Linked DNA regions of Rhinolophus ferrumequinum. The protein of the gene in region 1 interacts with the protein of each later gene in a pairwise test. Links are inferred from orthologs where the notes say so. Each region holds a gene or a part of one and is shown in the gene's direction. Other genes may lie near its edges. The genes, in order: ZGPAT, CDCA7L, DVL2 and DHX15.

Evidence for each region.
Region 2: the proteins of ZGPAT (region 1) and CDCA7L interact in binary tests that used the Homo sapiens proteins (3 or more experiments, as listed by UniProt). The two-hybrid records come from large-scale screens. The link is inferred for Rhinolophus ferrumequinum from reciprocal best matches to the Homo sapiens genes ZGPAT and CDCA7L.
Region 3: the proteins of ZGPAT (region 1) and DVL2 interact in a two-hybrid assay, tested with the Homo sapiens proteins (2 studies listed by BioGRID and IntAct). The two-hybrid records come from large-scale screens. The link is inferred for Rhinolophus ferrumequinum from reciprocal best matches to the Homo sapiens genes ZGPAT and DVL2.
Region 4: the proteins of ZGPAT (region 1) and DHX15 interact in binary tests that used the Homo sapiens proteins (3 or more experiments, as listed by UniProt). The two-hybrid records come from large-scale screens. The link is inferred for Rhinolophus ferrumequinum from reciprocal best matches to the Homo sapiens genes ZGPAT and DHX15.

Annotation. Positions count from the first base shown.
Region 1 is NC_046306.1:376,558-384,568, reverse strand, and holds the start of ZGPAT (zinc finger CCCH-type with G patch domain-containing protein), read left to right. Parts: upstream 1-4,996; 5' UTR 4,997-5,099; coding exon 5,100-5,126; exon of another isoform or gene 5,127-5,179; intron 5,180-5,211; exon of another isoform or gene 5,212-5,372; intron 5,373-5,585; coding exon 5,586-6,220; intron 6,221-8,011. Other genes in the region: ARFRP1 (ADP-ribosylation factor-related protein 1), read right to left, coding at 169-239, 445-526, 3,459-3,541, 3,714-3,801, 4,047-4,139. UniProt on the Homo sapiens protein: Transcription repressor that specifically binds the 5'-GGAG[GA]A[GA]A-3' consensus sequence. Represses transcription by recruiting the chromatin multiprotein complex NuRD to target promoters.
Region 2 is NC_046303.1:18,260,503-18,267,330, forward strand, and holds the start of CDCA7L (cell division cycle-associated 7-like protein), read left to right. Parts: upstream 1-3,828; 5' UTR 3,829-3,950; coding exon 3,951-3,974; intron 3,975-4,023; exon of another isoform or gene 4,024-4,136; intron 4,137-6,828. UniProt on the Homo sapiens protein: Plays a role in transcriptional regulation as a repressor that inhibits monoamine oxidase A (MAOA) activity and gene expression by binding to the promoter.
Region 3 is NC_046304.1:11,598,204-11,605,754, forward strand, and holds the start of DVL2 (segment polarity protein dishevelled homolog DVL-2), read left to right. Parts: upstream 1-4,542; 5' UTR 4,543-4,785; coding exon 4,786-4,979; intron 4,980-7,216; coding exon 7,217-7,286; intron 7,287-7,551. Other genes in the region: PHF23 (PHD finger protein 23), read left to right, coding at 1,509-1,540, 1,695-1,787, 2,349-3,186, 3,291-3,508.
Region 4 is NC_046288.1:71,716,639-71,724,314, forward strand, and holds the start of DHX15 (ATP-dependent RNA helicase DHX15), read left to right. Parts: upstream 1-4,663; 5' UTR 4,664-4,835; coding exon 4,836-4,903; intron 4,904-7,676.

The DNA of each region.
Region 1 (8,011 bases):
CCACACGCAGCTGAGGGTAACGGGGAAGGACAGGGTGCTGCACCCCAGTGGAGGGCAGGGGAGGCCTCAGGAGAGCTGTGTACCCCCACTCATGTGGCTTGGGGTATCTGAGGGGGGTGGCCCGCCCCTGCAACGGGCCCCCAGACCCCGGGCAATGGGCAGGCTCACCTCAACGTCCTGCTTGTTGGCCAGCACCAGGATGGGGACGCCGTCCAGAGCCTCACTTGCGACCATCTTCTCTGGTATGGGGGAGAGGCGGCAGTGAGCACCCTTCGTCCACCCGACTGCCCAGCCCAGCCCAGCCCATCGCAACCCAGGGGCCCACATTCCTGCACTGGGAGGGGAGTGGACACTATCCCTTGTGGCCAGGGCCCTCCTGACCTAGTATGGGCCCGACTCCAGCACATGGCCTGAGCACCCCCCAGCCCACCGGGCTGTGCTCACCGAAAGCTTGCTTGGATTCCGACAGTCTCTCCTCGTCCGTGGAGTCGATGACATAGATGACACCATGGCACTCCGCATAGTACTGGGGAGGGGCAAGAAGGGGGCTGCACCCTGGGCATTCAGCCACCCTTCTGGAGGGCTTTCTGGGGGTGGAGAGCTAGGGCGGAATGGAGCTGCGCCCCCAGGCCTGTCAGGGCTTGCTGGCCATGGATGGGCAGCCACCTCCCCTGCCCACTTCCTGGGCACTGCACCCAACCTACTTCAGCATTTGCTCCTGCAAACCTACCACAGACCGCCAGCCTGACGGTGGCTCAAGGGGAAAGGTGAGGCTTGGGGACTGCAGAGCCCAGACCAAGCCGGTCCCCATGCAGACCGGGAAATGGGGACTGTATGCCAGTGGAGCCTCATGCCACTGCGGACAACAGGCCCCACAAAGGCCACCGAGGGGCTTAGGCCAGTGCCACATTCCCAGCAGCTGTCCCGACAAGGACCGAGGCAGATCACCGGGCTCAGAGATCTGTGGTCTTACTTGGGGCCAGAAGCGGCATCACAGGAGCCCCCACAGGCTGTTCCTGCAGGAGCCTGAGGTCTGCAGGAAGGGCCGGAGGCACCGCAGGGGCCCTCGAGGGGCAGCCATGCAGCTGGTGAGCCCACTGTCTGCCCCACCAGAGCACTGCCAACGTCCGCACTCACGTGGGGCAGACAGCAGAATCTCTGCCGCTTTGCCCTGGCTCTCCTGCCCGTCACAGCCAGAGGTCCTGCTAGCTGGGCAGGGTGAGCCAGTGGTCACCAAGCTGGAGGACGCTCTGGCACATTCTTGGGTGTGACCCCACCAGTCTAAGGCAAGCCGCTATGTCTGCACTTGCTACGGAGAAGGCGGCCCTGGGTTTCGCAGGCCACAAGTCCCGGACACAGGGACTTCTGTGGAGGGCTGCAGCTCCTCTATGGGGACTCCAGGCAGCAGGCTGGCCATCTGGCTACACCCGACAACTGCTAGGCCCTGCAATGTAGGAGGTCTGTGCAGAAAGGGCCAGTGTGGGGTCTGCAGCCTGGTGGAAATCACCACAGCCCCTCAGGTGGCAGACTTCACTCCCCGTGTGACTGGGCCCTGGTAACGGCCTGTCACAGGCGCAGCACATCTGGGCTGAGCACGTGCTGGACGGGGGACAAAGCAGGCTACCCTGTCCCCATGATACCATTCATGCCCCAGACCCCAATGGCTGCATCAGCCATGGCCACATGGGGAATCCTACAAAACCAGTGGGAAGAGGGAAGAGCCTAAGCTTGGCTTCTGGGTGGGCACATTCTGGATGTCTCTTGGGTGTGACCTGAAGGGACAGGGTCCGAAGTCCTTGTGTGGCAGACTGCCAGGTGGTCACCCTCGTGGGAAGACATGGCCCGAGTCTGAGAATTGGGGAGGGACCAGGAGCCCCACTTCTCATCTGTCCTGGTGACACACAAGGGACTCTGCCACCATCCCCACAGCTCTGGGCTGTGGTCATCACCGGGGCACAGCAGGAGACCCGCCGAGTTATAACTGTGCCTGCCTCCTGGGTATGTTGGCAGAGACCCCACCCTGGTGGAGAGAACTGACCTCATCGGTAGCAGGGCTGGGGAGCCCCTCAGGAAGCCAGGGGTCCACCAGACAAGGAAGGCTCAGGCCACCGCACAGTGGTTGTTAAAGGGGAACCACAGTCGCCTCTTTCCTCCCCCTCTTCCAGTTTCCCCTCAGGAGGCTCTGGGTCATGGAGGAGCCATTCCCCATAGCAGAGGCACGAATGCCAGTGGTACATGGTGGGCTGTGGCCCACACAGGAACCGGTCATCCACTGGACCTTGCTGCCCGGTGGTGGGCACTGTGCCAAGTGGACAGCCCCTTGTTGGCTCCTGTAGGACCCACAAAGAGCCACGTTACCAGGTCAAAGCTGCCCAGGGCTGCCCACCATGGTGACCCGCCAGGTGATATGGAGTCCTGGCCAGCTCGGCCCGACGGGGAGAAATTCTCTTCCAGGGGTCCCCATTGGGCCAGCCACCTGAGCTGACCTCTCCCCCTGCCCACTCCCTTCCAGAAGCTGACACGCACCCTGCACCTCTCCCTCCATCTCAGCGTCAGCTCGAGACCCTGCCCTGTGACAGAATATCAGGCTGTGTCTCACTCCCCACGTGGGTCTGGGGATCAGATAAGAAGACCCTGGCTTGGTGTGGTGTCAGAACAACTGAAATGGCCAAACCCTGTGGCCACAGGACAGAAGCTGCCCTTGTGGCTGGAAGTCAGAGCAGGAGGGGACGCTTTGGAGGGGGACCAGGGAGGGTGACTGGGTACCTGCTGCTGGGATCAGTCTAGAATTCAGGACCTTGACACTTAGTTCTAAGTACATGGGCAGTAAGTGTTGGGGAGGGCACGTCTGTGCCCCCAGCGCTGGGCTGCACCAAAGCCACCAGGCCAGTCCCTGGGGAAGAGCCCCTAAGGGCAGGAGCTGGGTCTGTCCTGCTCACTGCTGGACCCCAGTCCCTGGCACAGGCTGAGCTGGGGACCGACTCCTGCTTTAGTGTGGGGAGAATCTCAGAAATGGCCAAACTCTTATGTCGGAGGAGAAGGCAGCTGCTGTGGGCCTCTGAGGACATCGTCCCCTGAGGTGGAAGGGGACACCATGGAGGACCAGTCCCAGGCCAGAGCGGAGAGGAGACAGTGGGGAGCCTCAGGCCTGGTAGTGAAGCTGGCACCAGGCCGTGCCTTCCCCATGTCTGTTCTCGGCCCTCTTCTGTCTCGTCCTGTGTTCATTAGCAACAAAATCTCTAAGCCCAAAGGAACTGAGTGTGTCGTTACTCTCAGGGGAGTGACTCGGGAAGCAGGACAGGATTGAGGGGGAAGCCTCAGGGAAACAAGGGGTGATGGAAGCTGCTGACCAGAAGGGAAGGTGGTCTGAGGACTTGTCAGAAAAGGCAGAAAGAGACCACAGGTGCCGTTTGGAGAGACATGGCCCGAGGGCAGGTGCTATGTGGCATGTGTCTCACCTTGTCCCACAGAGACTGCAGCTCTTCCTGCCCTCCTAAGTCCCAGAACATGAGGCGAGCCTTCCCCACGTCGACAGTGCCAACTGGGGAGAGAGGAACAGGGGTGAGGCTGTGGCCCAGCTCTCCTGGGTGCTTCTTGACCGCGGGCCAGCGGGAGCACAGGCTGCACCCAGGGCTGGGGTCGCCTGCAGGCCTGTGGGTGTCAGTGTCCTCGGGGGCCTGCCCCCAAACCACAGCCCTCAGGGGCCTTCTTACTGTTGAGCCCCACGGTGGTGGTGATTTTGGAGAGACTCATGCCCCGGTAGTCCTTGTTAAACCGGGTTTTTGACTGCTCCAAGAAGGTCTGAGGAGAGAGCGAGACAGGCACCAGGTAAGGCCTGGTGTGGCTTTACAAGTCGGCTTCCCAAATGCCCCTTCCGGGGCCTACGTCTTTAAAACAGAACAGAACGTTTTGCTTTTAAAGCACTTGGTGGAGACGGTCCCATGGCCCACGGGTTTGGATTCTGTCCGGGCAATGAACAGGCAGCGAAAGGTATAAAACCAAAGGACCAAAGCCCCCGGGGCGGGGTCGCAGGAGCAAGCGCCTACCGTCTTCCCAGCATTGTCCAGACCCAGGATCAGGACGCAGTACTCATCCTTCTGGAACACGTACTTGTACAGCCCGGACAGCAGCGTGTACATCCTGCCCTGGGCGCCGAGAGGTCAGTCGGGAAGCCATCTCCCCGCACCTCCCTCCCGCCGGCTTCGCACCGCGGTCAAGGGCACGCCCCGCCCCTCCACTCCGGCCCGGGTAAGCCCCGCCCACTCCGCCCCGCGCACTCGCGCCCATGACTCCTCCCACGCCGGCCACCGGCGGTCCCGACCCACTCCCTGGTCTCCTCACGCCCCCTCCCGGCCCCCCGAGGCATTCTGCGTCCCGAGTGCCGATCAGGCCTCGGCTGTCTCCGGCTTCAGGACCACAGCCAGGGACCCCCAGGCCGCCCCTCCAGGCTGCACGCCCGCTCGGCCCGCCCCCCGGACGCAACCAGGGACACGCTGGCTCCCGCCCGGCCTGGGCCACCGAGTCTTCTCCCACGGCGGTCACGCCCCTCGGAGGCGGCGCGCCGCCCGGCACACAGCCGGCGCCCGGTAAACACGCAGCAGGGCCCTCTGCCGGCGTTAACGGGGACGCTCCGCTTTTTGCAGGCGGGTGTGCGTGTGGTGGCCGGTCGCTGCGGCCCCGGAGCAGCCCGGCAGGCGGCTGGTGGCGTGGACAGACGGCGGCGAGGCCTCGGAGCCCGACACCCCGCCCTGACACCGGGTTTCGGGGCTCGCAACCCGGCCGCCGTTAGCTGCTCCACACCGGCCGCCCCGCCCTCGGGCCCAGGGCCCGGGGCCCGGCTCCGCCCGCCCGGGAGTCGACGACCCTGCCCCGGCCTACCTGTGCTCGCCGGGGCCGCGCAGCTACCGCGCGCCTGACCCCGCTGACCCCGCGCGGCGCCCGATGGGATCCGGCCGGCCGCCAGGAGAGGGGCGGAGCCGTCCCGGCGGCCCCCGCGGCAGGCACTTCCGGCGGCGGCGCTCGGAAGGAAGTGCTCGGGGGCTGCGACGGCGGAAGCCCGGGGCTGGGCCGCTCTAGCCGAGGAGGCCGGCGCGCACTCTATGGCGCGGCCGGACTGCGCGGAAGAGGTGCCCGGCCTGGGAAGAGGGGCGCGGTCTGGGCGACCGGGCCCGGGCCCGAGGTGACAGGGCCAGCGGAAGCCGGCGGCCCGGGAGGCTGGGGCGGGGAGGCGGCGTCCTGAGAGGATCCCGGGGTTGGGGGCGCGCGAGGAGACCCCCAAGCGCGGGGCCGAGACGCGGAGAATCCGATGAAACCTAACGCAACAGCGCAAGGCGGCCGGAAAGGGAGCTGAGGCCGTGGGGCCGGCGGCCAAGGTCCGGTTCTGAGTTTTCCACTCGGAGCTGATAACTTCTTCCAGCTTGTGTTCTCGCCCCAAAACGGGACAGAGAAGCGCACGCGGTTCCGCAGGCGGTCGTGAGGTCCCCTGAGTGCAGCTGTCGGCGCAGGGCTCCCTGGCACCCTCAGCGGTGGCCTGGGAAGGAGGGCGGCCAGTCCCGGGGCTCAGCGGGTTTCTCTCCTCCCTGCAGCTCTGCTGTCGCACCGCCCCTCCGAGGACCCAGGGAAGTCAGCCCTTTCCCGACAGGATGGACGAGGAGAGCCTGCAGACCGCCCTCCAGACCTACGACACGCAGCTGCAGCAGGTGGAGCTGGCCCTGGGCACCGGCCTGGATCCCTCCGCGCTGGCGGACCTGCGCCAGCTGCAAGGCGACCTGAAGGAACTGATCGAGCTCACGGAGGCCAGCCTGGTGTCCGTCAGGAAGAGCAAGCTGCTGGCCTCACTGGATGGAGAGCACCCAGCCCAGGACGGCGCAGAGTACCTGGCTTTCCAGAAGGCCATTACGGAGGTGCCAGTAGCCCCCAGGGCAGAAGTGGACACTGTTCCTGAAACAGAGGCGGGGCCAGAACCCAGCAAGCCTGGGCAGGAGGAGGAGGAAGGGGAGGAGGAGGAGGACGAGGAAGAGCTGAGTGGCAGGAAAGTGAATGCCCCCTACTACAGCCCGTGGGGCACCCTGGAGTATCACAATGCCATGATTGTGGGCACAGAAGAGGCCAGCGATGGCTCCGCGGGCGTCCGCGTCCTCTACCTGTACCCCACCCACAAGGCCCTGAAGACCTGCCCGTTCTACCTGGAGGGGAAGTGCCGCTTCAAGGAGCACTGCAGGTAAAGCCCTTCGCTCCTGGGGCCCCTGTGGCGACATGGGGCTCGCGGTAGGACCAGGGTCGTGGCTGGCCCTCTGTGCTCCTCTGGCCAGCACAGTGCTGACAGGGACAGAGCTCAGGCCCGTGGGTCCTTACAGCAGTGTCCTCCTGGACGCGTTTGCTTGGGTTTGTGAAACGGACTGTGGAACGCACTAGTATGTGCGCGGAACTCAGAACAGTTTCTGAATGTAGTAAGGACACAGACTGTTAGTTTTTATCTTGTTATAAAATAAAACCGGGTACAGGAAGTAAACGTATAGTATGGGGAATTGTTGTAACACCCTCGTAATCACCACTCAGATCAAAACGACAAGTTTGCCGAGCGCCCTTGGAGTCCCTCCTTACATCACAACCTAACACAGCCTCCTTCCTCCTCCAGAAATGACCCTGTCCTGCCCTTTAGGATGGTCACCTCCTGGAGTCTTTGTGGCTTATCACTGCGGTGTGGACACGCTGGTTCGTGCCTGCTGTGTCTGAATGTGGCTGCACACACCCTGTCCCTGCCTTTCCTGGCCTCACAGTTGCACCGTTGATGGACCTTTGGGCCATCAGTGAACAACCCAGTGCAGTGGAGCAGGCTCTTGTGTACCCCCAGGCTGGCGGCTGGGCCCAGGGTCTCGATCACACTCACGGCAAGCCTGGAGGTGCTGCTCGTTCACCAGGAGGCACCTGATGACCACTTGGCCACTTTGCCTTTTGTCGTCTTGGCAGCCACTGATGCTCCATGCCGCATCCATTGACTCCGGGGGGATTGTAAAATAGAGACCTTTTCATCCTGTGAGTTCGTTTTTGTTCATTAGCTGGAATGTTATAAAGAGATGCTTCCCCTCGCCTACGATTTGTCTACCCAGTGATACAATTCATGCAGAAAAGGCAGGGTTTTTCTGTTTCACTTACTTAGTTTCCAACATAATGAAGTGGTTCTCTTTCATCCTGAGAAGATGATGAGTTAGCTTTCTAAAAATATTTAATATCCATATGGACCCATGGATTTGAGTATATTTGATAAATTTCAATCCATTGTGATTCTGATCCTTACCGAGGCTCAAATTTTCCCACCCTTGGCAAGTGGGAACCTCTTCGGGTGGGTTCCTTCATCCTCTTCGTCTCACTGAGACCCCTGGTCAGTGAAGAGTCACTAACTTCTCTTTTGCTGCTTTCCAGATTTTCTCTTTGTCTTTGGGTTCCAACACTTTGATCATAATGTGTTTTAGTGTGGATCTTCTTGAGTTTATACTACTTGGATGCATGTCTTTCATCAAATTTGGGACCTTTTCAGCCATTATTCTTTAATTCTGCAAACATTTTTCTGCGCCTTTCTCTCCTCCTTTTGGCATTCCATTATTTGTGTTTTGGTATACTGTATTTTTTGCCTTTTAGCATGTTTTGTAGTTTTTTTCTTGATAGCCAGACATGATGTACTGGCTAGAAGGAACCACTGTAAACAGGCCTGCAGTGATGTGGTGAGTCCTGAGGGGAAGCGTCCTGTGGGCCAGTGCTTACAGGGCGGACTCCTCCTAGGAAAAGCGCTCCATCCCTCAGTGCTGAGTGTCACTACGGTCACCTTCGAAGTCCTCCCCTTGGGAAGCTGTGCACCAACACCAGCGCCTAGTCCACCCTTCAAAGCAATTCTGGAACTCTCTTTCTGGAATGGCCATCAGAGCTGTCGTCATATTACCCTTGATGTCCTGAATGTCATCCAAATGTCTTCCTTTCCATATTTCCTTTCGCTTTGGGTAAAGAAAGAAGTCAC
Region 2 (6,828 bases), on another chromosome or scaffold:
AAAATATTCTGCATTTGTCTGTCAAACTAAAGAAATGTCTTAGGACTTTCTGTCATTTAAGAAGTAATATCAGTTATTTTTTATGGATATATTGTGAATTCTATGTTGATATTCTACAGATTACTTTAAAAAATGCTACCTACATAATTCATTATGAAAAAATTTTGTTCTTTAAAAACTATGTACTACAGTACTGTTTTTGGTGTCACTGATTAGAAATGGATCATTACAATTTCCTTTTATGAGATATAAGTTCTTAGAAAGGTGAGTTATTAAATAATCTGTTCTCATTTTCATCCATTTATTACTAGTGCCTAGTTATAATCATCTTTTATGTTCATTTATATACATTATCAATTATTAATTATTAATAATTATTAATAGTAAATTATTAATATACCTACATATTGCAAAAACCTATGAGATATGGATGGCATTAATCACATTTGGGGTTTACATAGCATCTCTAAGAAATCCGAAATACTTTGGAAATATTGTTTCATTTATTCTCACAGCACTCTTTTTGAGGAGCAGGTGGGTGACTGTCACCGTTGAAGGATTCAATGTGAGAAGGCACGCAACGGTGAACTCAGCACCGGGCTCACTGACATCACTATTGCTACTGACGTTTTGGTAGAGCCATGGGCATTGCGGTTTCATTATGATGTGTACGTTTCTGTACCCAGTATATGAAGGCATTGATTATTGCTTGTTCAGGTTCTTTTCTCCGCAGCCTTTCAAGTGCTTTTCATCAGAAGGTACTTACATTGTGAGGCTGTGACAGCATTATGTTGGCATGCCTCGTCAGGAAGATGGAATACCAGCTTGTGATGAAAGAAAACTTTCCAAAAAGGCACCCAGTCGTTGAGGTGACAGTGTCGCTACAAGGGACTCAATTCTAGATCTTTTAATCCACAACAATGTGGAAAGGTTATCTCTAAGTGTCTCAAATTTAGGGATCTTTCCCCCTTCTAGGCTAGGTCTTATCTAATCAGAATGAGATAGAAGTTTCAAAATACCAGTCGATCAAGAACAACCAGGGATGTTATCTTGTTTAAGTGTCACTTTGTTTATTCAGGAGCGCATAGAATGCAAAGCAGTGTGCAGATATTACTGTTACATGTGGATTCTTTGCTGGGTTACCCAGAACACCAAACTGGTGCAATTCACTGTTATAAAGCGTAGACTAAGGGGTTTGCCCACAGCTGAGCTCTGTGGCGAGTGCAGAATAGGGGAGAGATATCTGAACTCCTCTTACAAATCAAAAACTGTGGGCCAGGCCTGACATCCCAAGTACAACTATTTCATGGCATCTAAAGCATCTCAAGTGATGGCATCTAATTACAAATTTCTTACCTTGTTGAAGGCACTAGGGACCAAGTTTTTATTCTCTCATAGAAACATTTAAAAAGGCAAGCAAGCATAGATTTCTAGACAGAGACTTCTTAAAGAAATTTTGCAAACATTACGTCTCCTTTTTCTCTGTTGCGATTATGTACACTCTTGCTTGTGGGAAGGGGCAGTCACTCGTGCAGTGCCATTCTGAAATCCAATGCTCACATGCTATTAATCCCATCAGTAACCATGGGAAGGAAGTATTAGCACAGGATATTAAAATTCCCTGGTTCTTTATGATTTCCCTAAACAGAAGGGAACCACAAACTGACAACAAAATACCACTACAGAATCAATTACTAAATACCATTCAAGTGCATGGGCTTTGCCAGACAAAGGAAGACAATTTCCAGGTTGCCATCTGAAGACTTAGGACTGGTTACAGCATATTTCTAAAGCAGGAAGGCTCAGCAGCTTACAGGTTTCCACGTAAGAACTAGGTTCCTTTAAGGGCTTTGCAAAATCTGACGTACTTCAAATTTATAGTCCCTTTTCCAAAAGGGATTTGATGCAACCTACAATGAAAGGAAATAAATGAAAATAAGATCACTAGTTCATGGGGAAGCAATCATACCAAAAAAAGAGAAAGTTCTGATTGAATAAATTTTACTCCGAGTTTCCTGGCAGCCAAAGGGAAAAAGTAAAGAATAATGGAGAGAATGTTGAATCTGAGGCATAAGAATGGTTTCCAGTTTGGCAGCCTGCGGCTGTCATTTAATAGCAGGGTGGCAGGGATCTTTTTCTTTATGTATTTTCTTCAATTATGTTTCCTCATTTAAGAAATGGGCAGGGTGGCTGGTTAGCTCAGTTGGTTAGAGCATGGTGCTAGGTAGCATCAAGGTTACCGGGTTCAATCCCCACATGGGCCACTGTGAGCTGCGCCATCCCTAAAAAAAAAAAAGGGGGTAATAGGAATCTGGAAGAACATTGGGAGAATTCAAGGAAAAACTGTATGTGAAGGAAAACTCTAAAGCATAGTAAAAACGAAAGTGGCTATAATCAACAGCTTACATTATAAAAAGAAAACAAAACATTTGCTTAAATCAAACACTGTATATGCGGGTCAGGAACACAGAGGACACATAACACATTTGCAGAACCAATGAAAGAAGGAAGGACAGTTCCCAGATGTTATCTCTTCAAGCTTGAGTTAATGTTTGGCCAACTTCATCCACTCCTTCAGCAAAGTCAGCTCCCAAGCAGCCAAGAAAGGCTGCAGAAGGGCTCAAGCATAGTGTTCCTATATGAACTCATGACCACAGGGCTAAATAGGCTTTCAATAACTGCCCAGCAAACCTGCTACGATGTCAAGACACCTTCATCTACCACCCTCCACAATGCCTACTTCAAGCCTTCCGATTTCCACCCGCGTCCACCCGCGTAATTCTTCACTCTTCATACCTGAACTCTAGGAGGTCTTCCCTGACCTGTGCCAAATTAAATCCCCCGTTTTACATCACCATAGTACCACTTACCTTTTCCGGCAGGGCATCTATCATAGCTCCAAATTTACATTTATTTGCATCATTATTATTGAACTTACCACCATTATTCATTATTTGAATTCATTTGAATTCATTATTTGAATTCATCATTTGAATTCATTGTTAATTAATTATTAAATTATTACATGTGTTTGCATAATTATTACATTTATATCATCGCGTAGGTGGCTAGCTCCCAGACTGTAAGTTCCAACACAGCAGGGACCTGTTTTTTGTTTAACCATGTGTTCCCAGGTGTAACAGTGCCTAACACATAGTAGGTGCTCAGCCAGTATTTGTTAAAATTAATCAGCATTCCTGACCTCAAGAACTCCCCGTCTAGCGGCGTTGGAGGCCTCCGTGTACAATGTATAGCAGAGCAAAGGTCGTCTAAAGTTGCAGGGGGTTTTGCAACTTCCCACCTTGGGCCTTGGTAAAGAAACTTGGGTTGGGTTGCCTGTTTTGCAAAGTGAACTCGGTAGCGAAAACTTTGGGGAGGCGGCACAACCTCGCCCCGTACCACAAAACAAGGGGAGCTCTGAAGCAGCCCTAAAATGCTTTCCTACTTCGGAAACACTGATTGCAGCACAGGCTCGCGCTACAGGGAATAACCTGGAATAAACCCTGCAAACATCCCGCGCGCGTAGCGGGGCGTGCCAGCTGGAGGCTGCGCCGGGACTGCCCCCTCTCCTTTCTCCCGCGCGAAACCAAGCCGGACGGCTCCACTCCCTCCCTCCGCTGCAGGGGGGAGCCCGGCACCCCCACACTGGCAGCCGTCTCGGGCTGCGCCCATCTGCAGACCCCTCTTGCGCCGCCTGCAAAACGAAGTTCCCTGGTCATGAAGTTTGGGTCTGTGATCCGAGCCTCGCGGCCTAGCGGAGCGGCACCAAGTGGGCGGCGCCGCGCGCTCCCCCTGTCCCGGGCGCCGAGTGCGCCCCTCCCCCGGCCCTCCGGAGCTCCCGGCGCAGCGCGCGGGCTGCGCGGCCGCGGGCGTTCTCCGTGCGCCGGCCCCGTGGCAAGCCAGGCTTCCGTGGCCGCGTGCTAGGAGGAGGCTGGATTCCCGGTGGAAGAATGGAGTTGGCGACTCGCTCGCAGGTGAGGGTCCGGCCGCTCGTCGCAGCCCCCACGCCCCTGCGGCCTGCCTCCCTTTGCTATCGGCCTTCCTCCCCGCCTTGGGCTGGAAACGTGGCCCTTGGCCGCCGCGTTGTGGATCGGACGCACCCAGTCCCGCGAACCCTGGAGCCGCGCGCCCTGCAGGTGTGCGCAGTGGGTCACTGTTTTGCCAGCTGGACTGGAGAGTCTGAGCGACTCCGCACTGGCCTCCGTTCCGGGTGGGTGCCCAGGGGTCGCAGGCCGGGTCGCTGCCGCCCCGAGCCCCAGGAATTAACGCATTTCGAGGGAAGTGCAGGCGGGGAGGCAGCCGGGGCGCAGCGCTTGCATTTGTTGCGCTCTTGGAACCGGGCAGGGGGTGGGGAATGTTTTCCGGTGCGCGCCCCCCATTTTCTCCGGGAATTGGCACAAGTTTAAGAAAAGTGTAATTTTTCTTAACAAAAAAAAAAAAACACACAGAATTGCGAGTCCGACCAGTTCAATTTGGAAAATGGAGTTTAAAAGGAATTGCTCTTGTATTTGTTCTAGAACTTTTGTAAATGTTTTCCAAGAAATTTGTAACCACTTGGGGCGGAGTGGGGGTGGGGATAGCAACGTCATTAGGCCAAATTAAAAAAACAAAAAGCCCTAAGATCCCAAACCGTATACACAGCACGACCGCAATTAACGCATTAAGATCTTAACTAGGTTTTAAAAATCGCATTAACAAACACTTGAGCATAAGTTACCCAGATGTTTCAGTGGATGCTGGGAATGTGAACGTGGCTTCAGTTTTCTTTTTTACTTTGTAAAAGCTTTTCTCTACTTCTAGTAATGAATATACATATTATTTCCATATTATTATTATTAAATAAACGTTTCAAAGGAACTAAAAACTTGCCAAAAGGGAAGGAAGCAGCTTGTGGGAGCCCGAGAGATGGAGGGTTGGGGTTTTCTTCCTTTTCTGAACGCCTCTGACTCACTTGCTTCCCACTTTTCCTTCGACTGGTGTTTACCTCTTTTCTCCCCCTGGGTGCTGAGCCTTGGTATTGGGAGACGAGAAGCGGCCGGCGCAAAGCTGCCCGGGTGGCCAGTGGTGCCTGAGCCCAGGCGGCTGTCACCCGCATGGGTCCAGCGGCAGATTAAAGGTAGAGTCGGTAATGGTCGCTTTGGCCATTTAGTGATTTCTGAAAGGCTTCCTGAAAGTGGACATTTGGGAGAAGTCTTATGTGGGTGTTTATAAGAAAGAGTATCATTTTTAAATTTCTCCAGTGAGGGGAGGTATTATAAAAGCAAAGAAAACAAACACTCAGGATTAAGAAGGACTGAGACAGGGTTATTTATTTTTTTCCTGCCACTGGCCTTTACCATATAATTAGTATCCTATGCTTCTGGGAAGTTCAGGTCTCTCTAAGACTTAAACCTTTCAGGAAGGAGCTTTGAGCCCCTTGTGAATTTCATCAGCAAATGTATCTTAAAAATGTATTGCTTCTGAAACCTGTTGTTCTGCTGGACCTGCACTTGCACCGCTTCTATACATCGTTCATGCTTAGAAAGTTCAAAATGTCCCAGAATGTGTAGTTGAACATTTTCCTGTCAAGTAATGAAGCTAAATTTCGGTAGCTCTAAAATGTTAAACTATTTACCAATGTGGGGGTAACCCACAAATTATATTCAACCCATTATGCACCAATTAGGGCAAATTACTATATGTAAGATGATCAGGTGTTTTTTTTTCTTTCCTAAAGATCTTCTAATTGGCAGCGCAAATTAAGATATGTGATGATTTTTTCCAGGGGAAATGTTCATAATTTAAATGTGAGCTGATTATAGTCTCTTTAAATTAGTGGAGAGTGGTTCTGTGGGGTGGGCAGGTGACTGCAGACAAGACAAGAGCACTTAATGAGCATTTCAGACACAGCAAGATCTTAAATTCGTGTGGTTCTACCCTGTGGCCCAGCCTAATGAATAAAGCATTAGTGCACACTGAATAAGGCTCAGCGCAGTGTGCAGTGGGTTTTAATCTCACACATTCAGTAAATACAATTTCCATTCCTTGCAAAGTGCAGAGCTGGAAGGGGTTCCAGCAAAGCAGCTTAGGCCTGATGTTATGAGTTATGACGTTAGGAGGGAAATAGGCAGGGAGGAGACCAGGAGACATTCATCTGAACCCTCCACACCTTTCTAGCCTGTTTTTTGAAACTTCACCAGTGTGTTGGATTTGATGTCTTTTGACATTGATCTGCCTTGGGCTGTAGTCCTTGGGCGACCACTGTGTCTTCGTGCTTTCGTGCTGAATGACAGGAAAAATACCCAGTAAAGGCAAGGACCTGGTCCCTTCCTGAGATTTCTCAGCAGTGCAGCTCGTAAGAGCTGGGGGATGAGACTGCCTCCGCTTCCTCGCAGAGAAACGGGGAGATCCTGAATGTTGGTGCTGTCCTTTAACTCCCTTCTGACTCTAGGATGCAGGTTGGCCCCTCAGAGAAGGAAATGACGCTGAATGCTCATGAATAAGCATGCGACATGCTGTTGAAAGGGTAAAGGGGAATGTTTTGGGGATTGACCTCACAGCTGCAGAGTGTGTACCCATCTGATCCTGGGCTTACAATGTGTGCCCAGAGCCCGAAAGCTGGTCACGGAGGGGGGTCATTTGTGACTCTTGGAAGGACAGCACAGTGATTTGCCACTTTACAAGCCCTGTATTTAAAAGGCCAGTTGGCCATTGTTTGGATGTACTACAGTCTCATCCGTTGGAGAGCTGAATATTTAGTGGTCATGAGAAACCTCAGAAATCACAGCAATTCTGACCTGGTCAGATACACAGGACAGAAAACTGAGGTAATTACATGACTTAAAACAA
Region 3 (7,551 bases), on another chromosome or scaffold:
GCACGGAACGCTGAGCCGGCGGGGGGCGGGTGAGGAATCAATTGGCAAACTTGGAGGTCGAGCCCCGGAGGGAGCGCGGGGAGGGGGTCGGGGGCCTGCCCCTGGTGGTGGGAGAACGACGAGTTGTGAGACCTTGGAGAAAGAGGAGTGGGAGACTAGGCTGAGGGTAGCTGGAGATTAGACGCTGTGTGTGGGGGGGTGGGAGCTAGAAACCGGGAGCTTGGGGGTTAGGGGCCGAAAGGGCCTCCGGCAGGTTGGGGCCCTGAAGCTAGAAGGCTGGGAGGATCTGGGGGCCGGAGAGTTGTTGAGGAGGGAGGAGGTAGAAGAGGACTGAGTGAGGAGCCCGGTAGTTCGCCGAGGTGGGGGAGTTTGTGGCGGTGGTGCCGGAGCTCCCGGTAGTTGCCGCCGGAGATAGCCTGGTGAATGTTGGAGGGGTGGGCAGATAGTTGTGGGAGAAGAGGGTGTCTGGGTATTGTCTGCGGTAGAGGAACCTGTACCGGGGGGTAGTTGTGGGGAGAGAGCCTGGAAGCGAGGAGAGCTGGGTAGTTGTAGGGGCGGTGGGGCGGGGTGGGGGTTAAGACCGGCGAGTTGCGGGGTGGGGGGGAGTTGATCGGCGAGGTTTAGAGCTTGGGAGTTGCGGAGCGGCGGTAGCAGCGGGGGTTGCCGTGGAGGAGTAGAGTAGCTGGTGGGGGGGGCTAGAGTTTAGGGGTCTATAGCCTAAGTGACTTAATGGTGAGTACGGGGGCCGTGGGGGGGGTCGGCGTCCGGAGAGAGCTCCGAAGAGGGCCTGGGGGCCCGGCCGGGAGCCCTAGAAGCTCGAGACGGGGAGGGGCCAAAGCCCCGGATGGGGGCGGAGGGACGGCGAAATTGTGGGGAGCGCGGTATGGGGGGGGCAGGTGGGGCCGCGTCCGGGTGAGAGCTCTCGGGTATGTCCCGGACGCGAACTGGCGTTGGATGTGTGATTCTGTGTGTGTTTAGGGTGGGGGTGAGGGGCGCGCCGGGCCTCGTGCTCGAGTAGAAGGGGCTGGAGGGCGGGGAGCGGTTCAGCGTGGTCATCCTGGACCCTGGGGGCCGGCGGGCGGCGTGTGCAGTCTCGGAGGGCCCGGGGCAGTAGAGCGCGGCCCGGCAGAAACTCGGGGCCCTGGGCGCATGTGAAGGACAGGGTCAGGCGGCAGCCCGGGCTCGGCCCCGGGAGCGGTATGGCGGGGTGGGGCGCTAAGAGATCGGAGTAGACGAGTCTAGAGAAACCGTGAGGGGGGGCGGGGCGCCAGGCCTCCGGTGGGGGGAAGGGGAGCGCTATAGCGAGGCCTGAGAGCGCGCCGCGCCCAGGCTCCGCCCCTCACGGGGCGGGAGGGGGAGCAGGGGCGGTTCCAGCACAGCTGGGGGCCTGCTGGCCCGGCTGAGGGACTTGGGAGAGCAGGGGATTTGCTTGGCATCTCCAAGGTTTAGAGGTGGGATTTTATACAGACTCTTCTAGTGCCTTGACTCAGCTTTTATTGCTTTCACAGATCCACCTCCGACCCTTAAACCAGAGACTCAGGTGAAGTTTCCCTTTACCTTGCAGCCTAGTATTACCGACCGTCCCCTTCCTCTCTCCCTCTCCCTCCTACCTTTTCCAGATTCCTCACTCCTGGGACTACCCTTTGGGAATGCCCCTCTTAAACTCCATGTGATACATATTTTCTTCCTTTCAGCCACCAGAGAAACGTCGAAGAACAATTGAAGATTTCAACAAATTCTGTAGTTTTGTCTTGGCCTATGCTGGTTACATCCCTCCTAGCAAAGAGGTAGGGACAGGAGGTCAACTGACTTGAGGGTGGTGGCCTAGGACTAGAGAGGGACTGTTGAGCAAATGGGACTGTATTTATAGGAGAAGGCTACCAGAAATTATATATGTAAGACTAGAGCAGTTAGAAACCCTGGTAGGAAAACTAGTATCTGGGGTGAAGGTGGACTTAATAGCGATAGATGGATTGAGTAGCAGTGAACAGTCTTGGGGTGGTGTTAATGGAAGATGCTTTTGGGTAAATTTTAGGAAGCTGAAAATGGTGACAAATGAGGCTACACAGAAAGGAAACTAAAGAAATACGTCTCTTGTTGGGGGATACAGCATTACAAAGGCAGTGGGAATTGGAGAGATGGATAGAATTTAAGGGCAGAAGTAGCATGGAGGTGCTCAAGAGGTGATAAGAATTGGGGTGGGGATAAATTGTCTGAGTACAGTGAGAATTGGTGATTTTGGCAGGATATTTGGGAGTAGATTGGTCCCTGGTTTTCAAGCTGGGTTTATAGAGGAACTGAGATGACACTGGGCCCCCTGCTGACCATGGTCTTGTCCGCCTTTTAAGGAAAGTGACTGGCCAGCCTCCGGCTCCAGCTCTCCATTGCGAGGTGAGAGTGCGGCAGACAGTGATGGCTGGGACTCTGCCCCCTCAGATCTCCGAACCATCCAGACCTTTGTTAAGAAAGCAAAGTCATCCAAGAGACGGGCGGCTCAAGCAGGTCCCACTCAGCCAGGACCTCCAAGGTCCACTTTCTCTCGTCTGCAGGCCCCTGACAGTGCTACACTGCTTGAGAAGATGAAGCTCAAGGACTCTCTATTTGATCTAGATGGGCCCAAAATGGCATCTCCACTGTCCCCCACATCCCTGACACATGCGTCCCGGCCCCCTGCTGCTCTCACCCCAGTGCCCCTTTCCCAGGGGGATCTCTCCCAGCCTCCTCGAAAGAAGGACCGAAAGAACCGAAAGTTGGGGCCCGGAGGGGGGGCTGGCTTTGGGGTGCTTCGGAGGCCTCGGCCAGCCCCTGGGGATGGGGAAAAGAGGTCTCGAATCAAGAAGAGCAAGAAGCGGAAGTTGAAAAAAGCAGAGCGGGGGGATCGACTCCCACCTCCTGGGCCTCCCCGGGCACCCCCCAGTGATACAGACTCTGAAGAGGAGGAGGAGGAGGAAGAAGAGGAAGAGGAGGAAGAGATTGCAGCAATGGTAGGGGGTGAAGCCCCAGCCCCTGTGCTCCCAACACCCCCTGAGGCTCCTAGGCCCCCTGCCACAGTGCACCCTGAAGGAGCCCCTCCCACTGACAGTGAAAGCAAGGAGGTGGGCAGCACTGAAACAAGCCAAGATGGAGATGCCAGCTCCAGTGAAGGTGAGATGCGGGTCATGGATGAAGACATCATGGTAGAATCAGGTGAGAAGTTTGGGGCTGAATAGGGGCAGCTGGGATGATGGGTATGGAGCTGTTGTGGATGCAAGAGCTCAGGCAGAACACCAAACAAACCTTCTTTTCCCCAGGTGATGACTCATGGGACCTGATCACATGTTACTGTCGAAAGCCCTTTGCAGGGCGGCCCATGATTGAGTGCAGCCTGTGTGGAACATGGATCCACCTTTCCTGTGCTAAGATTAAGAAGACCAATGTCCCTGACTTCTTTTACTGCCAGAAGTGCAAGGAACTGCGGCCAGAGGCCCGGCGATTAGGGGGTCCGCCTCCCAAATCTGGAGAGCCCTGACATTTCTAGGCTGGAACTTCCAAATGACAACATGACTTGGGAACTGAGCCTCAGGGTCCTCAGCCTATCCCCTGAAGCTTGGATATTGTCCCACTTCAAGGCAGGAGTTCCCAAGGGAGACTGGCTTGGACATGAGTTCCTTCCCTATCCTTTCCCACCTTGTGGACTTTATAACTCGGACGGACCCATTACATGTAGGGGTGGGAGGCTGCCTTGGTCCCTAGACACTTAATCTCTGTCCCTTGGACCTGCCACCCCTCACTTTCTGGGCCAGGATGGGAACTGGGATGGAATGGGACAGTTGTCTATAAAACTCTAGTGTAAATATAGCACTCCCCTCCCTCATCTTGTCTCACTCCCCATTCTACACAGGTTGTATTTTTAATTTTGGAATTCCGCTTTTGGGCATGGCAACTCAGAGGTGGAGTACCAACCAGAGTCTGGCCGAGGGAGGGAGGAAGACAAAGGTTCTTTCACTTCTTTTGTTTTTAATAATACTGGCCAGCTGTTTGTACAGGTAGCCTGCGTGTTGTAAATAAAGCAGAGTGGGCTCTTTTGTGTTTATAGCCCTCACTGACTGTCCTGCTTGGGAGGGAGACTTCAGAGAAGCTGGCAGGAGAGGGCTGGAGGAGGGCCTGAAACCCATCTTGAAAGTCCGAGCTGAAGGAGGACAGGGCTCTCTACCTCTCCCATCGACCCTATGGCTTCGGTTGGCTTTGCCGCGTCTTTGGAAGCTCACAACCCCACCTTGACTCTCCACACACGCTTCAGTGGATGAGGGTTGCTTGGAGTTCCCCACTTGAGTGGTCTTAAGCGGGGTGGGAGTCGGTTGCCTGCCCGGTGAGGGCAGAGGCCAGTTGAGCCAGGGTATTCGGAGGACGCAGGTGGGGACACATTTGGGGGCGGGGCCATTGAGGGTTAGGAAACCGTTGCCCAAAGCAGCGATCACGTGGCGGGGGCTCTGGGAGGGGCCGGTTCTGTCACGTGATCAGAAGGTCACGTGGCGGCTACGAGGATGGGGTGGGACGGCTTGGGTCACGTGGCATGGAGGTGGGCGGGGCACTGAAAGGTGTTCACGGCGGCGGCCGAGTACGCGGCTTTGGGTCGCGCCCCGCGGCCCGCCACCCTGCTGACCCCCCGCCTTTCTCCTAAATCTCTCTCGCACTGGGGCGGTCCCGTCCGCGCTCGCTCGTCGGTTTGCGGGTGTGCGCAGGCGCGGCGGGGGAGATTAGCTCTGTTGGGTGGGCGGCGGAGCCCGAGAGCGCGCGGGCGAGACCATGGCGGGCAGCGGCGCGGGGGGCGGTAGTGTCGGGGAGACGAAGGTGATTTACCACCTGGATGAAGAAGAGACTCCCTACCTGGTGAAGATCCCCGTCCCCGCCGAGCGCATCACCCTCGGCGATTTTAAAAGCGTACTGCAGCGGCCCGCGGGTGCTAAATACTTTTTCAAGTCTATGGATCAGGATTTCGGGTGAGCGCGAGGCCTAGACTGGGGCTGATGGGGTCTGTGCTGGAGTTGATTGGGCAATATTGAAGGGCACAGGCCTAGTCTGGTCCATACTGGGATTTTTTGGGCTATAGTGGATCAGATTGTACTAGGCTGGGGTAGATTGGATATCCCAGGACGGACAAGGTTATTATGCTTGCACAGATTGAGGCTCACGGAGCTGTAGGACAGACTGGGCTATACTAAACCAGAGTAGAGAAGATTAGGCTATACTGTAATAGAGTGGGGCGCACTGGTTTATTTTGGGATATTTTAGACTGCAGAGGTAGATTAATCTATTGTCTGATAGTTGAGTACATTCTGAGCAGTCCTGTAATACACAGGGATATTGTGGGATACTGTGGAATCTTAGATTGAGCTATATTAGTCAACTTGGGACGTTCTGGCCTATACTAGGGCAGCCAGGATTGTTTTGGGACATTCTAGTCTGTATTAACGCAGAGAGTGCTGTATTGGGATGTTCTAGAGTAGATTAGGCTATCCTGGAGAAACTTGGGCCATTCTGGTCTCTATTGGGTTTTATTGGTTGAACTTAGTTTGTACTAGGGCCTAATTTTTGTTGGGACACTCAGGAGAGGATAGACAGAGCTGTTGGGGTCTATGCTAGTACAGACAGCCGTTTGGGGATAGTCTAGTTTATATTAGTGCAGATAGCTAGCTCCATGTGGTGACATTCTAGGCTGTGCTAGAATAGATTGGGTTATCCTGGTATAATTTGGGACATTCTGGGCTAAACTGGGACTTTAAATGATGCACAGTAAGCCCTTTTGTTTTATAGCCTCTGGGACTGAACTGTCTGGGTTCTCAACCTCAGCTCTTGAAGGCAGGCTGAATTAGGCTGGGGTAGCCTGGGTTCTAGGAGAGCTGAATAGACTGGGCTTTGTCTAGAAAGATTGTTTATCTTGGGAAAGTGGTACTGGTTTGGGAGTTACCTTGGATTTAAATCAAGGTTCTTCTATTTGTTAGCAGTGTAATTGGGCAATTCTTAAAACTTCTGTGCTTTGATCTCATCTGTGAAACAGAGATAATCAGAGTAAAATGCTTAGTACAGGTGCATGGCACACAGTTAAGTCTTGGTTAGTGGTAATTGTCAGTACTGAGTCTGACTAGTCCATAAACTAGGTTATAGTAATACAGAATGGAGTAACTTGGCAGGCTGGGCTATGCTGAGACTGGATTATGTTGTGAAGAATACAACATATGCTGAGACAGATTGGTAGTGACTGGGCTGTGTTGTCACAACTGAAAGCAAATGGGATTAAGTTAGCATATATCCAGGCTTCTAGAACCATATCAGGCTAAATAAAGGGTTAATTAGACAGGATGGCCTAATTTGAGGGTGAGGATGTGTATATGTGAGAGCTTCTGTCCAGGGCAGAGAGCCTTGTAGTTCATATGTATGTTCCTTTAGTCAACTAGTGTTCAATAGTATTTACCAAGCATCGGGTACTTTGCTGTGTGGCCAAGACATGGTATTGAATAGAATAGGCATTAATGATTTCATGTGGTGGTAGAGAAGAAGAGGCAAGTCCAGTCCATCACAAGGAACCCATGGGACAGGTGGCCCCAGGGCTAGGCTTTGGGGTTTGTCAGGAAGACCAGATTGCATGGTGCAGAGTTTTGTGCCAGGTGAGGCATGGGAATGGAAAGCTGGTCCTCACCTCCCCTTGGGAGCTCTCAGCCTAGTGAGAAAGTACCATTCTTTGGTCTAATGGGTATTTTTAAGCAAAAACAGCACACTTAGCTCTCTGGAAGCGAGTTAGAGAAAACTAAGAAAAGCATAAGAGTAGAGACTTAGATGAGAACCAAAGACTTGTTTGGGTAAGGTGTGTGAGGAACAGGGTTGAAGTTTGGGGGAGGCTGCCAGCAAGGCTCCTCACATTTGACAGATATTTTGGGCACCTGGGGTAACCTTAGGAGATGGACTTTGAAGTTGGACTGAGAGGTTTGAATCACACTTGAGATCTTTGGAGCAGCATTGAGCCACTGAGGATGAGCTGGGGAGAGAAGGAGAAATAAGGAAAGGGAATTGAGTTTGGAGATGTCTTAGGTATAAGAGCAAAGTGTTTTAGTATGAGAAGAGGACTTGGACAGGGTAGGAGAACATAAGCATCCTTGAGCTGGATAAAGATTGGGAGAAACTTTGGGGATGCAAGTGGGGGGAGCTAGTCCAGTCTCACTTTCATCCTGTCTCTCGACAGGGTGGTGAAGGAAGAAATTTCAGATGACAATGCTCGCCTTCCCTGCTTCAATGGAAGGGTGGTCTCCTGGGTAAGGGGCCCTGGCTCTGAGGGCCCAGTCCCTCCTGCATCACTAAGCTCCTCCAAGCTTCTGTCTGGCCTTGTAGCCCAACTGTTGTTGTTTAGTTGTTGGAGGCCCTGGCTCTTTGCTTCCCTACCTATTTGGAGAGAGCCAGCTGGAGCCCCTTAGCCTTCTTTCTCCTCCTGGAGCCTCTAATGCTTGCTACTGCTTTTCTGTGCTTTTCTCCAGGCTCTCTCAGACCCTGTCTCCTTTTCTAGTCCTTTCCGTCACTCCG
Region 4 (7,676 bases), on another chromosome or scaffold:
AGGGCTCCAAGAAAAGCCATTAGTTTTCAGTTTGTCCAGCTTTTTCTTCTAAGAATGGAAGTGATAATTTCTAAACTTGACATGCTTGGAGGTATAAGCAGAAACTCCTCCCCAGGTTTTTTATTTAGTATCTTGGCTGGAGTGGAGAGGGGGACAGTTTCATAAGCTTCTACTTGGCATTTCCTACTATGATAGTTCTTACCTCTTGCAGGCCAAGAATTCAACATGAGGGTTGTGCCAACTACTAAGAGTGTCTATTCTAAGTGTACATTTATAGATTGGGGACATGACAAGTGGGTGGGTTTGAGAACCCAGGGAAACTACTATGAGCTGGACCTGAACCAGATCTTCGTTAGACACTCCCATTGGCCCCCACTCTAACAGGGAGCCCATAACGACACTTTGAGTCTATCAGTATCAATGTCAGTTCAGATTCCGTATCCAATTGTCCTTGAAATGTTTGAATATTCTCTTTCCCCCAGTGTATGGTTACCTAAAAGAATGGCTATAGATCACTTGGAGAAAGGACTTGGAGAATTATTACTGTGCACACAGTGATGTTACGTGTTGTAGTCCTTGCTCCTAGGGACATGGCAGTTACCTTAATCAATGTACTCCAGGTCCCAAAACTGGTCGTAGAACCAAAACTAAAATTAAGTCACTTATGTTGGGGACAAAATGCAGTTGGCTAATGTGGGTTCATTAAAGAAAAACAAAACTTAACCTTACCTAAGTTGCAGGAATTTACAGTTCTTTTCAGAAATAAGCAGAGGACTTCAGCCAATTTCCACTGTCAAGTCTGTTCATGCATCTTTGGACTTTCATGTTCCTCTGACTCAGCTAACCTGATCCAAATAAGGCAGGAGACCACTGGGTAACCAATCAACTAAAAAACCAAATAACTTCTGCATTTGCCGCCATAAAAACCTTTTACTAGTCTGTGAGCAACTCAGAACTCATTGCTCCAGTAGCCTTGGGTTTCCCAGCTTATAGGTCAAAACCCTTGCAATGAACTCATCTTTCTGCTTTGTTGTACTCAGTGTGCAGAGTTTGGTTTTTGACATGGCGCAAGTCTAGAAACTGGGCAAGTTTTCACTGGGGCAACTGCCCTCAATCTTTTGATCATCCATTCTTGATTTATTTTGGTTGTTCAGATTGAGGACATCCTTTGATGATTGCCCATCTATTTTGCTCTAGATACCTTGTCCTATTTACCATCTCTACTACCTTGTAGCATCCACCTGGCTTCTGATGTTGAAATGCCACCGTGTTACTTCTGTTACAGGCCCCTTTCATCTTTACTACTCTCAGGGAGCTCAGGTCTGAAATGGCATCTTCTACCTTCATCTCTGAACTATAGAGAGAACCACCACTGAATTTCTGAATGATGTTGATGCCTCCCTCACCAGAAAATTCTTTATGGATTCAGTAAGTGGTATGTCTTCTGAACTTTCCTGTGGAATATATTCCTCTGCTGGGTTTTCCACCTTTGTGTAAGTATTTTCACTCTAACACATTCACTTCTTTCAGCTATTTAACCCCCTTTTACACTGTGATGCACAGCAGTTCTGGCACTTCTGCCTTTCTTGGTGACTGTGGCATTGCTTTTTCCACGCTTCTAGATGACATCCTAAGTGTGTTTACACCATTGCCTGGAGTTCTTGTGTATGTTAAATCCTGTATCCTGGAAAAGTACTTCCAGATTGATAAAATTTCCCTTATTTAACTTTATGTTCCACCTCCCTCCTCCCTTCTTTATCCAGAACCTTCAGAATTCCATCCCATGCATACTTTCTTGGCTCCTGCTGGTACCTGATGGTTAGATCCTACAGCTTCTTTGGAGTCATTTTCCAATACTATCAGCCCTAGGATGTCCCTGGAATATTCTATGTTGTGACTTAACCCTAATTTTTGCCTACTGGTCAGCAGGGTAAGTAGGGGTATATCTTGAGGGAGGTGCATATTATGTCTCAGAGAGTAGGCTTCTGATCATCTCACAAGGAAGGAGAATTAGCTTTTAATAGGGAAGAGCAGGGCATTTTGACAAGCTCACCAGGTTGAAGGGAATTTAGGAATTCAAGATTTTTCAGGTCTATCAACCTAAATATCCCACTCCCAGGTGTCAGAGGTGCACCCTTTCTCAATGAGGGCCCTAACCTTGACGTATCATGCCTGTCTAAGTGGAGAATTTAATCTTCATTGTAAGTTTCCACTTGGCCTTATGAAACTGTTATATTTAAGTCCTGGGATTGGTCATCATTTTTCTTTGTCTTTCCACTGCAGGAGATGAGAATCTGTTTATTTGCTCCCAGAAGGTCTTCTAGCTTTCCCACTTAATTTTGAATTGCAGATTAATTACTCTCAGCCTTTCATTATCTCTCTCCAAAGTATCAAGTCCACTTAGCAACAGTCAATCAAATTCCGATGTTCTTATAGTTATTATTTCCTCCATACTTTGAAAACAGTGCATGGTCTTTCCCAGTACACCACGGGGGGTGAAATTTTAACAATTGCCCTGCAATTGGCAACTATGTGGTAACTATGTTCTACATAGTGGTAACTATGTTCTACCTGCCATCACTAAGTCATTGCCGGCCACCAATGGGTGGCCAGGTCCAAAATCCAATCATAGACTCTGCTTTCTTGGGCCATTCCTAGCACCAAATCTTTTTGGTTGGGTTCCATGAAAAGTAGACTTCGAAGCAAGGACTAGTGCACAGGAAGTTTATTAAGGAGTATTTAGGATCAACACCAGTGAAAGGAAAAAGATGAAAGTAGGCTTAGGGGAAAAAACTGGGCTCTGAGGCTGTACGGGGGCTGGTAGATGGCTCTTCTTTATTCCAGGGACCATTTGCTCTGAAAATCTAGAATGGATCATTTAGACCCAGAACTTTGCCCTTCCTCAGAGAGAGTGAACATCCTGGCAGATTCTGGCCCGTTGTTCCCCTTACAGATTCCAGAAGGGTCTCTATCCTTTGGTAAATATGGCCACTTCAGTTACAACACAATTGGTTAGGTTACAGTTTTCTAGGGATATACGCTAAGCCCAAGGAGAAAGTCTCTTCATCTTGACTTCGGTTCCTCCTTTACCAAGTCTCCTTGCACATTTATGAGAGGCTGATGCCTCTAAGGGTAGAGCACTTCTTCAGGTGGAATTCTAACCTTTTCCCTCATTTTTTTCTCCAAAATTTTGGAGTACTTTATAGTTGCCCTCAAACTGGGAACCTAGATATCTGGGACTGGAGTAGTGAAGAGTGAAATCTGGATTTTAATTCTGACTTTGACACCAATTGCCTGTGTGAACGTGGGCATGACCTAGGGGCTCATTTGTAATATGAGCTAAGAAGGGAAAATCAGCTGGAAACTCTTTTCCAGGTTTACAATTCAGTGATTATGCAACATGACCCCTGACAAGTCAATATACTGCTACCGTGTTTCCCTTAAAATAAGACCGGGTCTTATATTAATTTTTGCTCCAAAAGACGCATTAGGGCTTATGTTCAGGGGATGTCATCCTGAAAAATCATGCTAGGGCTTATTTTCCGGTTAGGTCTTTTTTTCGGGGAAACACGGTAACATACATTTAGGGTAAAAGTTGTACAGAAAATTTTATAAATGAAGATATTCGCCTTTCTTTGTACTGATTTTGTAATGTGGATTAGGTACAAAAATAAAAACCCTCTTTATCAGTTGCAGTATTAAGGTTGTATTTAACCTTAGCGGTTGCAGTTCTGAGGATTTGATAAGAACCTGGTTATGGTCTTCCAGGGCATCCAAACATCCATTTCATGAACTACATAGATCACCCAGCTTCGGTTGGTCCACAGATCTTTCTTTTATGTATTTCTTCTGGGAATGAATGCAACTGAGTAAGCAGATAGTCTGGGGGAGAGATCCATTAAAGTGCTAAGAGTCATCTTACCTTAACGATTGTCTATGACTTTAGGGACAGCACTAATGGCTGTGTGACTTCTTAACTTCCCTCTGCCTTAGGGTCCACATCTATAAAATGACACCTACCTTGCCAGGGTGACTGTAAGAATAAGGGTAGAGGTAGGGTTACCACAAGTTCATAACAGGCACACAGGAAAACAAAAAGCTAATTATGTCCTTACTGTCAGCAATTTTCTCTATTCCACATTAAAAAAAAAACATCAATAGGTTGAGAACATACAGTCCATACTAGGTTAAAAAAAAAGAGAGAGAGAAAAGGGCAAAATGGATTATGGCAAGTTTTGACATTTTTCTCACTTCAGTTTCTTCACTGACACTGAGTGGTTAGTGGCTTCAAGTTCTAGAACTGGAGTTACAAAATAGTTACCATAGGTTCCAATCCTGGCTCTGCCCGGTATCAGCCATATGATCTGGGTTTCTCAAACTCCCTGGGTCTCAGACTCCCCTAATGCCAGGGCAATACAAATGGACAGGATTTCCTACCTAGAACTGATCTTTCACCTCTCTCAATTTCTTCACATCAGACAGGGGCGTGAAGGCTACGCGGGGACAGCCGACTTAGCAGCCGCTCGAACGGCCTAAAGCTGGTACCAGGAAGAGAGCGGAGGCCGGCGGGAAGGAAATTGGGCGGATCTGGAGTTCCCGCCTCCGATGCGTGCGCGCTCACCACGCACGCACAGCACGCTGCGGGAGCGCGCACGCCGGCCCAGCCCTCGTCGCCGCCGCCATTTTAGCTCCTGGTTCCGGCCGCGCCGTGTAGGCTGTGGTGCGGGAGGGGTGGGGGTCCTCCAGAGTTAAGTAGCTGTTGTCGACTGCGCTGATTAGGCCGCCAGTTTTTCTTTTTTTCTTCCTTCATAACCGCCCGCTCGAAGAGTCCGAAGATGTCCAAGCGGCACCGGTTGGATCTGGGGGAGGATTACTCCGGCAAGAAGCGTGCGGGGACCGATGGGTAAGCCAGGCCCGGGGCGCGAGGCAGAGGCTCGGGCTTTGTTGGGGTCCCGGCGGGAAGCGGACCAAGGCCGGCCTGGCCAAGCGGGGCCTGGAGCCCGGCCTTTTGTTTCTCTTTAGGCTGGGTTCATTGGCGGGTTGAGCGAGCGGCGCCACTCCCGGGGTTCGGCTGGGCAAGGGCGCGGGGAGAGGTGTTGCGCGGCCGCCGCCGGGCCCAGTCGGAAGGGTGGAGAGGCCTGTCGTGGCCACGAGGGCGCCTCCCCGGACCCTGCCAAACGAGTCACTTGGAGGGGAGCGGGCGGGAGGAAACCGCGGACCTCGTGGCCTGGGTTCCCGGGTAAGGCCTGGAACCGGGGGAGGGGATGGGGGAGGGCGCGGCGGGAGTATTCGCTTCCAAGGGCACCAGGTACTTACCAGGCTGAGGGGCCGCGGAGAGGGCCTTGGGGGCGGGTGGGTGCCCACCTAGGGGAAAGGAGGAGGGCGGAAAGTGAGAGAAACGCGTGGATTCTTCTTTTTGACTGGGATGGGGGTAGCGGGAGTTGAATGAAGCGTGCAGACGAGGAGTTGCCGGGGGAAGGGAGAATAGAAGGCCTGCCGGGAGAAAGGAAAACGTGGAATATACCTGATGGGCAGGAAGGCTGGTCGTATGGAGCCACTGAGTTTATACTTTCGCGGGAGAGCGCGTGCCTCGGTCCATTCAAAGACTTCAAAGTAGATACTAGGCAAACTTCCGCTCTCTGCTTATGCTCCCGCCATCTCCTTTATTTCCTGCTTTGGCTAAAACTGGGTATTGGGCATTCCTGGGATAGGAATTAAAAGGCATTATTTCTTTTCCAATAAATTCTTGATTTCTGTCCTCCCGCCTTCCTGCATAACTAGTTTTTGCAACAAGAAGACCCTTTTCAAAAAAAAATTTTTAGCATTGATGGCAAAATATCGCACGTGGGGAGGTTGAGAGTTGAAATGGAGTGGTGGTGTCTCAGATTCCTTTCCCTTAACGTTCATTAAAGATACAGATGAATAGACTTCAGCAATTGCATCAAAATCATTTCTTGTCCAGTGTGTTTTCATTCCTGAAGTACAGTGTTTTACTCGGATAATTCAGGTATTTTTACCGTTTTATTGTGTGCACGTGTTCAGAATCACGGTGCCAAATCATCTTTATAACTTTTGTGAATTTTTTTTTCACCCAAAGTGCATTTGCATTGGTTTCCAGGTATCTGTCTAGTGAGTGTATAAACCAGGATAGGGTGTACTTTTTGATCCCTTCCCATATAGTGAATATGGAAAGCAGAAATAGGTAATGTTTTAATCTTGTAAAATTTTTAGTTTACAATGTTAGACTTTAGTTTTCTCTCTTTTTAGGTTGTCTCCTCTTCCCTCCCTCCCCACACCCTCAGCAAAACTTTAGCACATTTAGAACTCCTTGCCTCAGACTGTTTAGAGTTGCAAGTGACTTTAAAAGAGAGTATAATCAGCTCCACTGAAGGGATGAGAAAGGAAGACCCAGAGTTGTTAAGGTGGCTTGTGCAACCTTAACCCAGTTCACAGCTGGATTTAGAACCTTGATCTTTTCATTTGCACTCTTAGCTTCTTGCTTTTTCTATTACACTACAGACTATGACTGTATTTAAGAGTCATGACAACCTAATTTAATGACATTTATGGGTCACTAAAGTAGGGGACTCTTGGTTCCTGTGAAGCAAAGATAAATTGCTTGTCATCTGGGTAAAATGCAAGACGTCATCTGACTTCTCTCATAAGAGTTCAGATTGAAACAAAGTACACTAGGAGGGAATGAATTCATTTATTCATATTTGTGGGTGTGCAACATTTAAATACTTTTCTTGGGATTAGTGGTCCCATGGGTTCCCTTTCTCTTGCAAAACTGATACCCTTAGTAAAAAATGTGGACTTTCTATGTCTGACATCTACCTGTAATAAAGCCCAAGTTCTGAGATAATTCTGGGGGGACATTTATATACTCATTTCTGTGTCATCTGAATGTCATTTCTCAGAACTAATTTTCTTTAACTGAGCTTACAACGTTTTAGTGCTTGGGTTCCCCCTGCTCCCCCCCATATTTTATAACTTGAAAGTCTCTTTTCACAGACATGCTGTTTTGCAGTTTTTTTAAGCCTTGACAGTTAGCAAGTGGCTTTATTTGAGAGGGTAGGCTTGTCTTGTGAACTTCATTGCCAAACATGGCTGTACCATTTCCCCAATACTGAGAACGGAAAATAATTTAGTGGGAGATTTCACTCAGTTTCAAGTTCCCACACTATGTATAGTTTTATTTACTCCTGGTATATTTTAGTTTTGGGGTCAGGTGGAGAAGTTGAAGGTTTCTGTTGCAAACTGATGGTATTCCTTTTCCATCATCCCACAAAAATTTCTATATTAAATTATGCAGAAGACAACTACTTATTGAAGTGTGGAAAAAACTTTTTGAAAATAGAACATTTTTCACTTTGGTCTTAGTTTCTGATTAATTCCTGATAAGTACTTTTCCTGTTAATTGTGGAAATGTAAAACAAATACACTGATACAATAACATGTAAAATATAGTGGTACCTCCGTTTTCAAACGTAATCCGTTCCGGACGACCGAGTTCTGAAATGCTCAAAAACCTAGGTACCACTGTATGTAACTATGTTCCCGAAACTATTTAGGTGCTTTATATGTATAAGCACATTTTCACTACAATTCCTGTGATATAGGTGAGGTTAAGTAACTTGCCCTGGGGAACACAAGAATGTCCATATACATGAAGA